Linked DNA regions of Macaca fascicularis. The protein of the gene in region 2 purifies or fractionates together with the protein of the main gene of each other region. This does not show direct contact. Links are inferred from orthologs where the notes say so. Each region holds a gene or a part of one and is shown on either strand. Other genes may lie near its edges. The genes, in order: IRF3, TRIM21 and MAVS.

Evidence for each region.
Region 1: the proteins of TRIM21 (region 2) and IRF3 purify together in Homo sapiens (affinity purification with western blotting; 3 studies listed by BioGRID, with this or other methods). This does not show direct contact. The link is inferred for Macaca fascicularis from reciprocal best matches to the Homo sapiens genes TRIM21 and IRF3.
Region 3: the proteins of TRIM21 (region 2) and MAVS purify together in Homo sapiens (affinity purification with western blotting; 3 studies listed by BioGRID). This does not show direct contact. The link is inferred for Macaca fascicularis from reciprocal best matches to the Homo sapiens genes TRIM21 and MAVS.

What each region holds. Positions count from the first base shown.
Region 1 is NC_088393.1:57,636,769-57,640,515, forward strand, and holds the start of IRF3 (interferon regulatory factor 3), read right to left. Parts: upstream 2,739-3,747; 5' UTR 2,510-2,738; exon of another isoform or gene 2,506-2,509; intron 2,057-2,505; 5' UTR 1,937-2,056; intron 1,721-1,936; 5' UTR 1,713-1,720; coding exon 1,461-1,712; exon of another isoform or gene 1,377-1,460; coding exon of another isoform or gene 1,317-1,376; intron 536-1,316; coding exon 364-535; intron 280-363; coding exon 209-279; intron 1-208. Other genes in the region: BCL2L12 (bcl-2-like protein 12), read left to right, coding at 3,566-3,672.
Region 2 is NC_088388.1:70,002,753-70,006,499, reverse strand, and holds the start of TRIM21 (E3 ubiquitin-protein ligase TRIM21), read right to left. Parts: upstream 2,564-3,747; 5' UTR 2,517-2,563; intron 1-2,516. UniProt on the Homo sapiens protein: E3 ubiquitin-protein ligase whose activity is dependent on E2 enzymes, UBE2D1, UBE2D2, UBE2E1 and UBE2E2.
Region 3 is NC_088384.1:83,440,418-83,444,164, forward strand, and holds the start of MAVS (mitochondrial antiviral-signaling protein), read right to left. Parts: upstream 2,512-3,747; 5' UTR 2,452-2,511; intron 1-2,451.

The DNA.
Region 1 (3,747 bases), on a different chromosome or scaffold from region 2:
TGGGAAGGTGTGCTAGGGCCTTGAATGCAGGGTGAAAACTCGGAATTTTCTCCTGAGGAGACTGGAGCAGGAACAGACGGGGCCACCACTGGCTCAGGTAAGGGGCAGGCTGGAGGCAGGGAAGCGGGGGGATGGTCCACAGGGAGAGGACAAGGCCCATGGGGACACGACAGAGACTGAGGGGCATGAAGGTTGGGCACATTCTCACCTGGGTATCAGAAGTACTGCCTCCGCCATTGGTGTCCGGAGAGGAGTCTGGCTGGGAAAAGTCCCCAACTCCTGTTGAGAAAGGTGGTGAGGGGAGTAGGGGTGCCAGGAACCCTTGGGACCCCAGCCTCCCACATGAACCCCGATCTGGCAGACCTGAGTTCACAAACTCGTAGATCTTATGTGGGTCGTGAGGGTCCTTGCTCCGGTCCTCTGCTAAACACAACCCATCTTTGCGGTTGAGGGCAGAACGGAAATTCCTCTTCCAGGTTGGCAGGTCTGGCTTATCCCTCCCGGGAACGTACGCACCAGTGGCCTCGGCCCAGGCCTGGGGCAACAGTGGTGTCAGGATAGTGGGGGAGGACGACTTAGATCCTGCTCCTGGGGCCCTAACCCTGTCTCCTGGATCCTAACACCACCCTCTTTCCCTGGCAAGTTCTAAGTCTGCAAGTTCCATCCCCAAATCCCCCCGTCCTATCTACCTCCATCCCCCACCTCGAGTTTTTAAAAGCCTTTTTTTCTTTTTGAGATGGAGTTTCACTCTTGTCACCCAGGCTGGAATGCAATGGCGCAATCTCAGCTCACTGCAACTTCCGCCTCCCTGGTTCAAGCAATTCTCCTGTCTCAGCCTCCTGAGTAGCTGGCATTACAGGCGGGCACCACCGCACCTGGCTAAGTTTTGTATTTTTAGTAGATAATTTTGTATTTTCACCAATGATTTTGTATTTTCACCATGTTGGCCAGGCTGGTGTCAAACTCCTGACCTCAGGTGATAGCCCGCCTCGGCCTCCCAAAGTGCTGGGATTACAGGTGTGAACCACGGCGCCCGGCCCAAAAAACTCTTCTTTCTAAGCCAGGCTTCCAAGTCCAACTTGGTGTCTAACCCCGTGCACCACCTGCCCCGCGACACCCTCTGTGATAACCCCGCCCCTCACACTGTTTACCACCTCTGGCATATACTAATTCAGTGGTTAGGAACCCCAGATTTGGGGCTCCAGGTCTCACCTCTGATGTTTCAAAAACCATCCCCCAGTATCTATCCTACAACCAAGAGCCCCGGCCCCTAGAGAGCCCCAAAACCCCAGGATTCATTTCCTTTGCGTACTAACCGGCTTTCCCGGTTTTATTGCCGTAACCGGGCAGCTCCAACCCTGCTTGCGTCCCACCATCAGTCAGCTGATCCGGCTAGCCCCGCCCCTCCCGTTCTAGCCCCACCCACCAACGTTGGCACGAGCCAGCCCCTCGGGCGATACCTCCGCCGTCTCAGCCCGGCCCGCTAGGAGTCCTTTCTGCCCCGCGCGCAGCTCAGGGTTTCCAGCGTCCCCGGTCGTCTCACGCACCTGGAAGATTCTGAAATCCTCCTCCTGTGCATCCTGCCGTAGGCCGTGCTTCCAAGGGATGCGGAAGCGCGTGCGGCTCTCGTTCACCCAGGCCACGCCCTCCAGTTGCCCCAGGTCCAGCTGCGACACCAGCCAGGGCAGGATCCGTGGCTTTGGGGTTCCCATGGTCCGGCCTGCGCGTATAGGGCATTTTCTGGGCGCGACCGGCCTCCCCCGGACCCACCTGGCCTGGAGTTTCCGCACCCAGAACCCTCCCTCTCACGGGCCACGGCACAGGTCCTTCACCCATATTTTCGGGGGTACAAACAGGAAACCTCCTCTTCCCATCCTCCCATCTTCCCGAGAGGCTCCTTAATCCGCTAGGGTTCCTTCCCATATCCATGGCATACCCTTCCCCAGTGTCTTCAGTGCAGACCCTCCACTCTCTCAATTCCGCCAGTATAGACCTCCTCTCTCCCCGACATCATCGAAAGCAAGTATCCCCACTTTCAGGGTAGCATCCTCTTTCCCTAGTTATTTCAGTGCAGAATCGATTCACGTGTAAGCCTCTATCTCCTGCATTTACCCCAGTGTAGATCCCCTTCCCCAGTCCCCCTACAGAAGATCCCCCGAAACATTTCCAACACAGAACTTCCATCCAATTCCTCCTCGACTGCCAGCCCCCCTCCTCCAGGACAGAGCACGCCTCAGGTTTCGGGAGTGAACTACACCCATGTACGGAGTCCATCCTTCCCTCTGTAGAACCCCTCAGTGTAGACGCCTCCTGTTTTCCTCTTTCCTCCCTACTTTTTCTAGTTTTTCTCCAGCCGACCTCCAGCGTCGGCCACTGTAGCTCCTTCCTTGCTCCACTTTCCCCAGAGTACACAGCCTGCCTTTCCACTCTCCGTGCAGACCCATCCTGTTTCCCGCTCCTCGCTCTCGGACGCCACTAACGCTCTCCCAGGCTCTTCCGCGTTACCTACGATAGAAGCTCAGGGCGTGCAGGGAGCTGGCGCCCACCCCTGTTTTGGGGCTCCGGATAGCTCTCAAAGTCGGGGCTGCGCACCCCCTTTCCCGTCAGCTGAACTCTAGACGCTGAGGCTTTCTTTTCGATCGACTTCTTGAAATAAAACCAACTTTATCATTCTTTGGGTAACACACCCCGGAGCCGAACGGACGGCCCGCGGGGCCCGGGGCTGTCCCCGCCCCTATGCCCTTTTTTGGGTTTCCGGCCAGAGGCATGCTGGGAGCGTCACATGCAAATTGAGCGTGCATCCAGCGTTCCGCCCTTTCTTCGTTGGGCCAGTTACCGACCCGGCCCAGTGCGCAGGCGCGGGAAAGTTGAACTAATAAAGTTTGTACAAGTTGAGTGGAGGCGGCGGCAGGTTGAGTGGAGGAGGCGGCGGTGAGGCCCCGGACCAGGTCAGCGGGGTGTTGACGAGGGGTGGGGTAAGGAGGGAAGAGGAGCGGGCCAGGATCCAGTAGTGGGCACCCCAGTCCCGCTTCTCCGACATCCAAGGGTCCAGGGTCCTCTAGATTCCAGCAGGAGTCGGGGATTTGGAACTACACCTCACAGCAGGCTGCGCGGCGAAGAAGCGCGGACCGAGGGGAAGATTTGCCCTGAAGCCTCCTGGGATTGGTAGTTCCCGATGCTTTAAGGGTTTCAGTAGTTTGGCATATGCCTCTTATAGAATCCAGGAGTTGGGGCGCTAAGCCCCTTCTTCCTGGGAGACCTAAGGGTCTGGGGCTCCAGTTCCTTTCTCTCTAAGACTCAGGAGTCTAGACCCCATCTCCCTCCTCCTTTAGACCCACGAATCTGGGCACCCAGCCCCCCCACCTTTCCTTGGATCAAAGAGTCTTTCCTGACCCCTCTTTCGTCTGAGGACTCAAGAGTCTAGGCCCCTAGACCGACACTTTCCAAATGACCCAGGAGTCCAGGCCTTCCTTGGGACTCACAAGTCCTGGTCCCCAACCAAGCCTCCACTTCTTGCTAACCCCTTGGAGTCCAGTCCCTAGTCCCCTCTCTCACAGGTGCCTCCATGGCAGGCTCTGAAGAGCTGGGGCTCCGGGAAGACACGCTGAGGGTCCTAGCTGCCTTCCTTAGGCGTGGTGAGGCTGCCGGGTCTCCTGTTCCAACTCCACTCAGGTAAGAGGAGTTGCCCTTCTCCCCCAGGGGCCAGCATTTGAGGCTCCCTCCTAACTCTTGCTCCTGGTCTCAGTC
Region 2 (3,747 bases):
TGGAGTAAAAATTTGCAAACTATCCATCTGACAAAAGGTGAATAACCAGAATATATAAGGAACTCAAACCACTCTATAGGAAAAAAAATAATAATCTGATTCAAAAATGGACAAAAGATCTGAATAGACATTTCTCAAAAGAAGACACACAAATGACAAACAGGCATATGAACAGTTGTTCAACATCATTATCGGAAAAATGCAAATCAAAACTACAATGAGATATAATCTCATCTCAGTTAAAATGCCTTTTATCCAAAAGACAGGCTATAACAAATGCTGGGGAGGGTGTGGAGAAAAGGGTACACTCACGCGCTATTGGTAGGAAGGTAAATTAGTACAATCACTACAGGGAACAGTTTGGAGGTTCTTCAAAAAACTGAAAATAGGGCTACCATATGATCCAGCAATCCCACTGCTAGTATATACCCCAAAGAAAGGAAATCAGTATATCAAAGAGATATCTACATTCCCACGTTTACGGCAGCATGTTTCACAATAGCCAAGATTTGGAAGCAATCTAAGTGTCCATCAACAGATAAATGGATAAAGAAAATGTGGTACATATGCACAATGGAGTACTATTCAGTCATAAAATATAATGAGATCCTGTCATTCACAACAACATGAATGGAACTGGAGGTCATTATGTTAAGTGAAATAAGCTAGGCACCAAAAGACAAACATTGTATGTTCTCACTCATTTGTAGAAGCTAAAAATTAAAACAATTGAACTCATGGAGTTAGATAAAATAGAAAGATGGTTACCAGAGGCTGGGAAGAGTAGCAGGGAGGGTGTGTGTGTGTTGGGGAAGGTGGGATGGTTAATGAGTACAAAAGTGGAGTGAATTAGATCTAGTATTTGATAGCACGATAGAGTGACTATAGTCAATAATTTAATTGTACACTGAAAACTAAGAGTATAATTGCATAGTTTGTATCACAGATGATCAATGCTTGAGGTGATGGATGCCCTATTTACCCGGATGTGATTATGACACATAGTATACCTGTATCAAAATATTCCATATACCCCATAAATATACCTACTATGTGCCCACAAAAGTTAAAAATAAACTAAAAAAAGAAGAAAAACAAAATGACACAAAGGAAAATAAAAAAGAAAAATAAAAATAATGAGTCAGGCACGGCGGCTCATACCTGCAACCCCAGCACTTTGGGAGGCTGAGGTGGGTGGATCACCTTAGGTCAGGAGTTCAGTTCAAGACCAGCCTGACCAATATGGTAAAACTCCGTCTCTACGAAAGATACAAAAATTAGCTGGGAGTGGTGGTGGGCGCTTGTAATCCCAGCTACTCAGGAGGCTGAGGCAGCAGAATTGCTTAAACCTGGGAGGCAGAGGTTACAGTGAGCCGAGATTCTGCCATTGCACTCCAGCCTGGGCAACAGAGTGAGACTTCCTCTCAATAAATAAATAAATAAATAAATAAAAGGCATAAAATTAATGGCAAAACAATTAATGTCAAAAACAGTAATTACTTTTACACCGATCAAATAGTTTGTTGAGTAAGTTTATTCTTGTTCTGAATAACAAGAACTCCTCCATTGTTGGTCCATTGATCCAGTGAGACAGAAGGAGACACTAAGTCCCTAAAAGAGGGAGTGAAAATTGGCAAGAACCTCATAAAGCTGTTGACAGTTCTACTCTCATCATGTCCATTCCTGCTTAAACCCTCAGTGCTCATTCATCTCCTGTCTGGTACCAACAGGCCTCCATGCTGCTGAGAAATTATAGCTACTTTTTACCATGTACCTTCCATGTGCCAGACATACTTCATGCTTTGAATATATCTTCATTAATACTTCCTATAACGGCAGATGTCAGGTGTATATAGGTATGTAGGTGTATACGTATATACACAAGCATGTGTATATGTATGTATACACACAGAGCAACAGGAACTGTGGCCAGCACTCCCTGGGCTCTTTTCTCAGCTGCTCCAAACTTAGTTTAGTTCCTGACAACACTTATTCTAGGGCAAAGAATAATTTTGAATACATTTCTGGTTGAACATCCTAAACAGCCTTCCCCTCTCACCTCTGGAGGACTTTTGGACCTGGGAATCTCCAGAATTGCAGACCTCCCCGACATGAGCTCCCTACCCGTCCTGGCTAGGCTGTAGTCCTGGCTCTCCCAGCCGCACCCAGCCTTCATCCCAGGTCACGTGCCAGCATCGGGGCAGCCGGGCCCCTTCCCCTTCTGGGTAACTCGGCAGTCACGTCCACAACCCAGCCTCCTCCCAGGAAGGGGGCAGCCGGGTCCCTTCCCCTTCTGGGTAACTCGGCAGTCATGTCCACACCCCAGCCTCCTCCCAGGTAGGGGGCCAGCGCCGGAAGCACAGCTGGTCTTGGGTTGAGGGATCCCTGGTGCGAGAAGGGGCAAATGGGACCGGCTCAAGGATGGAGACTGATTGAAGGGGCTGGGCAACCCTGGGGCAGGGGAGAGAGGTCCCCTAGGAGGGCAGGGGTCCCTTGATCTAGTGGGGTTCACTCACCTTTACAGGGGACTCAACGCTGGTAGCCAGCTCCCTATTTCACTTTCAGTTTCCGCTCAGAGGCAAGTCTGAGAGGAAAGGGGAGGGAGGAGGAGGAGAGTGGGAGGAGTGAGGGAGGAGCAGTGGGAGGAGCAGAGCCTTGAAAGCCTTGTGTGGAGAAATGCTGATGAGAAGCAAGAGAGGTGGGAGGAGAGAAGGTAGAGAGGTGAGAGGAGAGAAGTCAGAGTTGGACTGGGGGAGGCTTCAGAGGCTCTGGACGCCCAGGGGGCTTCTCTGAGACTGGTAAGGAGTGGAAACTCAGTAGCCCGTGGTCCTGGGTGCGCGCTCCCTCCCATGTCTTCATTATCCGGTTTGGTAAAATATCTACATGACGGGGGAGTCCGGGCTACTTTCTTTGACACTGGTCATCACCCCACACCTAGATGCTATGTGCATGTCTGGAAGCTGCTTTTAAGGAAGTTTCTGATGCAGAGGAGTGGCCGGTGCTCTTCCTCGCGTGCCACCATCTGCTTACTTCCAGAAGCTAATTATTTTCATGTGACTGATGTGACTAATATTTTTTTAACACTTGCAGGTGAGTGATTTATTTCACATGACCCCAAGGTAAGTGTCCCACCAGTGAGTGGTGAGAAGGGAATTGACATTTGACAATCAACTGTGTTCTTGTCACTGAGCTAGGGACATTCTCAGGTTATATTATTTTTATTTTTAATCGTAAAACATACAGAATATAAAATTTACCAAAGTAATTTTTTAATTTTCAATTTTGTGTGTCTATAGTAGGTGTATATATTTATGGGGTACATGAGATATTTTGATGCAGGTAGAGCATACAATCCGTAATAATCACATCAGGGTAAGTGGGGTATCTGTCCATCACCTCAAGCATTTATCATTTGTGTTATATACAATCCAATTACATGCTTTTAGTTATTTTAAAATGATAAATTATTGACTCTATTCATCTTGTTATGCTATAAAACACTAGATCTTATTCATTCTATGTCATGTATTTTTGAACCCATTAATCATCCCCTGCACCCTTGCCCCACTACCCTTCCCAGACTTTGGTAACCATCATCCTCTCTATCTTAATGAATTCAATTGTTTTAATTTTTAGCTTCCACAAACAAGTGAGAACATAACTGTTTGTTTGTTTGCCTGTGCTTGGTTTATTTTACCTAACATAATAATCCCCAATTCCATCCATCTTGTAGCAAATGAAAATTTC
Region 3 (3,747 bases), on a different chromosome or scaffold from region 2:
ATCCCAGCTACTCAGGAGGCTGAGGCAGGAGAACTGCTTGAACCCAGGAGGCAGAGGTTGCAGTGAGCCGAAATCGTGCCCATTGCACTCCAGCCTGGGTGACAAGAGCAAAACTCCATCAAAAAAAAAAAAGCAAGCAAGCAAGCTAGGGAAAGGGGCAGAGATTGTCAAGGTCAAGGAGGTGGCAGGGGCCACTCATGTAGAGTGCTATAAGAAAGGACTCTGGGTTTTAGTTGGTGTGAAACAGGGAACCACTGGAAGGTTCTGGCAGGGAAAGAAGAGGATCTGATTTGCGTTAAAGACTTCTCTGGTGGTTGTGAGGACTTTGGAGGGGCCAGGATGAAAACTGGGAGACCAGTCAGGAGGCCACAGCCCAGGAGACAGGATGATTATGGTCAGGATGGGAACCACAGAGATGGAAGGAGGCAGCCAGATTCCTGGTGTTTTGAGGGTGTAGGAGATAAGGGAGAGAAAAGAAGGATGACTCCTTGGGCACTGGATGGATGGAAGGTGCCCTTTTACCAAGCCAAAGAAGCCAGGGGAGGAGCAGTGGCTCAGAAGGAACTCCAGAACTCAGGTCTGAACAAGTGAAGCTTGAGATGCTATTGGATTCCAAGTGGGTTGTCAGGGAGGGAAGGAGACAGGAGAGGACCAAATGGGCATCAGGCAGGCATGAAACCTCTCTCAGGAGGCAGTGCTGCAAGCAGACAGCATCTAAAAGCTGCTGGGCCACCAGACCCTCCTCACAGGGGAAACAGTCTTGTCACTGGCCTCAGAACCTCACATGCACGACTTGCTTTGCCAACCACCAGGCGCTGCTGCATTCCTCCTGGGGCAAGTACTAATGACAGGTCGGGAGAGTCAGGAAGGTGAGGTGGGGGTCCTCTGAGCCTTCAAGAAATAAGCAAAGAACAACTCTGTGGGAGTTAACAGACTCCTTTCTCGGCCAGGCATGGTGGCTCATGCCTGCAATTCCAGCATTTTGGGAGGCCAAGGCGGGCAGATCACTTGAGGTCAGGAGTTTGAGACCAGCCTGGCCAACATGGTGAAACCCAGTCTCTACTAAAAATGCAAAAATTAGCCAGGCATGGTATCAGACACCTGTAATCCCTGCTACTTGGGAAGCTAAGGCATGAGAATCTCTAAACCCAGGAGGCGGAGGTTGCAGTGAGCCCAGATTGGGCCGCTGCGCTCCAGCCTGGGCAAGAGAGTGAGACTCCATTTCAAAAAAAAAAAAAAAAAAGACTCCTTTCTCCTTCCTTTCTCATGGCATCAGCCAGGTACCAGGAGGCAGTCAGATGAAGCACTCTTCTGCATTCCAGCCTAAGCCACAGATGGAGGAGAAGGGACGATGTGGCCCAACCAAAAGGAAAGGAAGCCCACATTTGTTCACATTTATGGAGGGCGCACTGCAGACAGGCACATCCTAAGGTTCTTTCAGTTAAACCTTCCCCAATCCCGTGACAGGGAAAGTGATGCCAAGGTGCACAGCTGGCCAAAGGCTAGCACAGGATTTGAACCCAGAAACTGCTGCCTCACTGTAGCCAGTCATAAACCTTGCAGGGCACAGAGACCCCTGCAGCAAGAGAGACCCACACAGTCACCTGCCTTCAAGCCCAAAGAGGACCCAAGGTCACTTGGTGGAGGGGAGGCTGAGGGTGCACTTGGGAGGAAGCAACATTTAGTACAAACATTAACCCTGCCCTCACATGGCTGCCACAGGCCCCAGGTCGCTGGCTGTCCTCCTAGATATTTTTGAGGCTTCACGGCTTCCATACAGAGAATGCCTTTTTCGTGTTTTTGGTTTGTTTCATTGTTTTCCTGGCACCTCCTTCCCATCTGAGAAGGAAGGAGGTGACAGAGTGTTCCCGATGCAGCAAAGTTTCCGACCTGATTGTCCAGAGGCTCTGAGTGCATCCCGGAAATAAATACCCACCCCCACCAAAGGCACAGGCCTCACAGCCTCGGATCGGATTCCTGGGCGAGACCCAGGTCCGCTGAGGGCGGGGAGGCTGTTCTGAGCTGGTGTCGCCGCCAAGAACTGTCCGGACCCAGGGGAGGGCAGCAGCACTCGACCTCAAGGCGCAACTAGTCGAGGCTCCGCCCCAACTTAGCGTCACCCTGGGCCCGCGGGCGGCAGGAAGAGGTCAGCGGCCGCTGCCCGTCCCCTTCTAGCCCTACTTTTCCCCTAGCCGGAGCAGACGCCCAGCGCGACCCACCCCCTTTTCCCTGGATGCTGGATGCGGCGCCTGGAGCCCTCAATGTTCCCGAACCCCGTGCGCCACAGGGCCGACTCTTCCGGAGCCCCGCGCGCCCTGTCCCCTCCTGGGCCCCCGCGGCCCCAGACCCAGGGCGTCCCGGCGGACTCGGTACTGCCGCTGCAGCCACCTTCCCTAAAGGCGTCCGTGCGTGCTGAGCCGAGAGGACCCATCGCCCGGGCAGCGATCTTACCTCGAGTAGCCCCGACCCTGAGACCTGGCGACCGCCGCCCGGGGCCCAAGACCCCTCCCTCGGCGAGGGGGCGGGGCGGGCAGGGCGCGCGGCTATTGGTCACGTGGAGGGGCAGGGCTACTCGGCCGCGCGTGGTTGGCTGGCGGCGCAGGCCGCGGCGCGGCGGGGGCGGGCACTGGGCCTTGGTTTGCTGGTCGAGAAGCGCTAGGCTGGGCACCGAGAACCGACCTGATTTTCTGCTGAGGGCGCGTAGTCTCGAGCAACTTCCAGGGGAAGTCCAGTGTCCGGCCAGAAACCAGGCAGGCGGCCGGCCTCGAAGTCCTCAGGGGGCTGAGAATTCCATCCCCACGCTTCCCAAGTGAAACAGCCCCTCCTTCCGCCGGTAGTTTTGATGGGTGAGGGTCTTCGTGTCTTTCTCTCCTGCATCCCCATGGCCAGGCATACAGTTAGTGCCCAATAAACGTTGGGTGACGCTGAAGTCACAGGGGCAAGGATGCATAGCCTAGAGACGCGCATGCTGGGCCTGTGGGAGTGGGAGCGGGCGGGGGACTGCCGGGCAGGTAGTTGCAAGGCAGGGACGCCGAGGTTGGCTGGCTGGCAGGCTGGGTATGGGTTGGGTCCTGCGTGGGAGAGGCCTCTTACGCCCAAGGGCCTGGGACAGGTACCTCCCGCAGTTCCTGCCATCTGTCTCGCCCTTCCTCTTCTGGGGCAGAGGCCAACACTTATTGAGCACTTACTGCCTTCCAGGCACAGGGCCTTCTATTTTTTTTTTTTTTTTTTTTTTTTTTTTTTTGAGACAGAGTCTCCCTCTGTCGCCACCACGCCCGGCCTCAAGTGAGATTTTATTACTGTACTTTATATCCCTGTGAATATTTCACAACCTTCAGCATTTACAAAGTATGCTTAATCACACCTGAACTGTAATAAAACCAGCTCTGCCTAGTTTAGCCAAGAGGGCATAAATGTGGATTAGTTCAAGAATCAAGCCTGCCTGCTCCCCACCGGGCTCTAGCAGCTTCATATCTAATACTTCCCCCCTCCCCACCCCCGAGACGGGGTCTCTTTCTGTCTCCCAGGCGGGAGTGCAGTGGCGCGATCTCAGCTCACTGCAAGCTCCGCCTGCCGGGTTCTCCTGCCTCAGCCCCCCCCCCTCAATAGCTGGGACTACAGGCGCCCACCACCACGCCCGGCTACTTTTTTTGTATTTTTAGTAGAGACAGGGTTTCACCGTGTTAGCTAGGATAGTCTTGATCTGCTGACCTCGTGATCCGCCCGTCTCGGCCTCCCAAAGTGGTG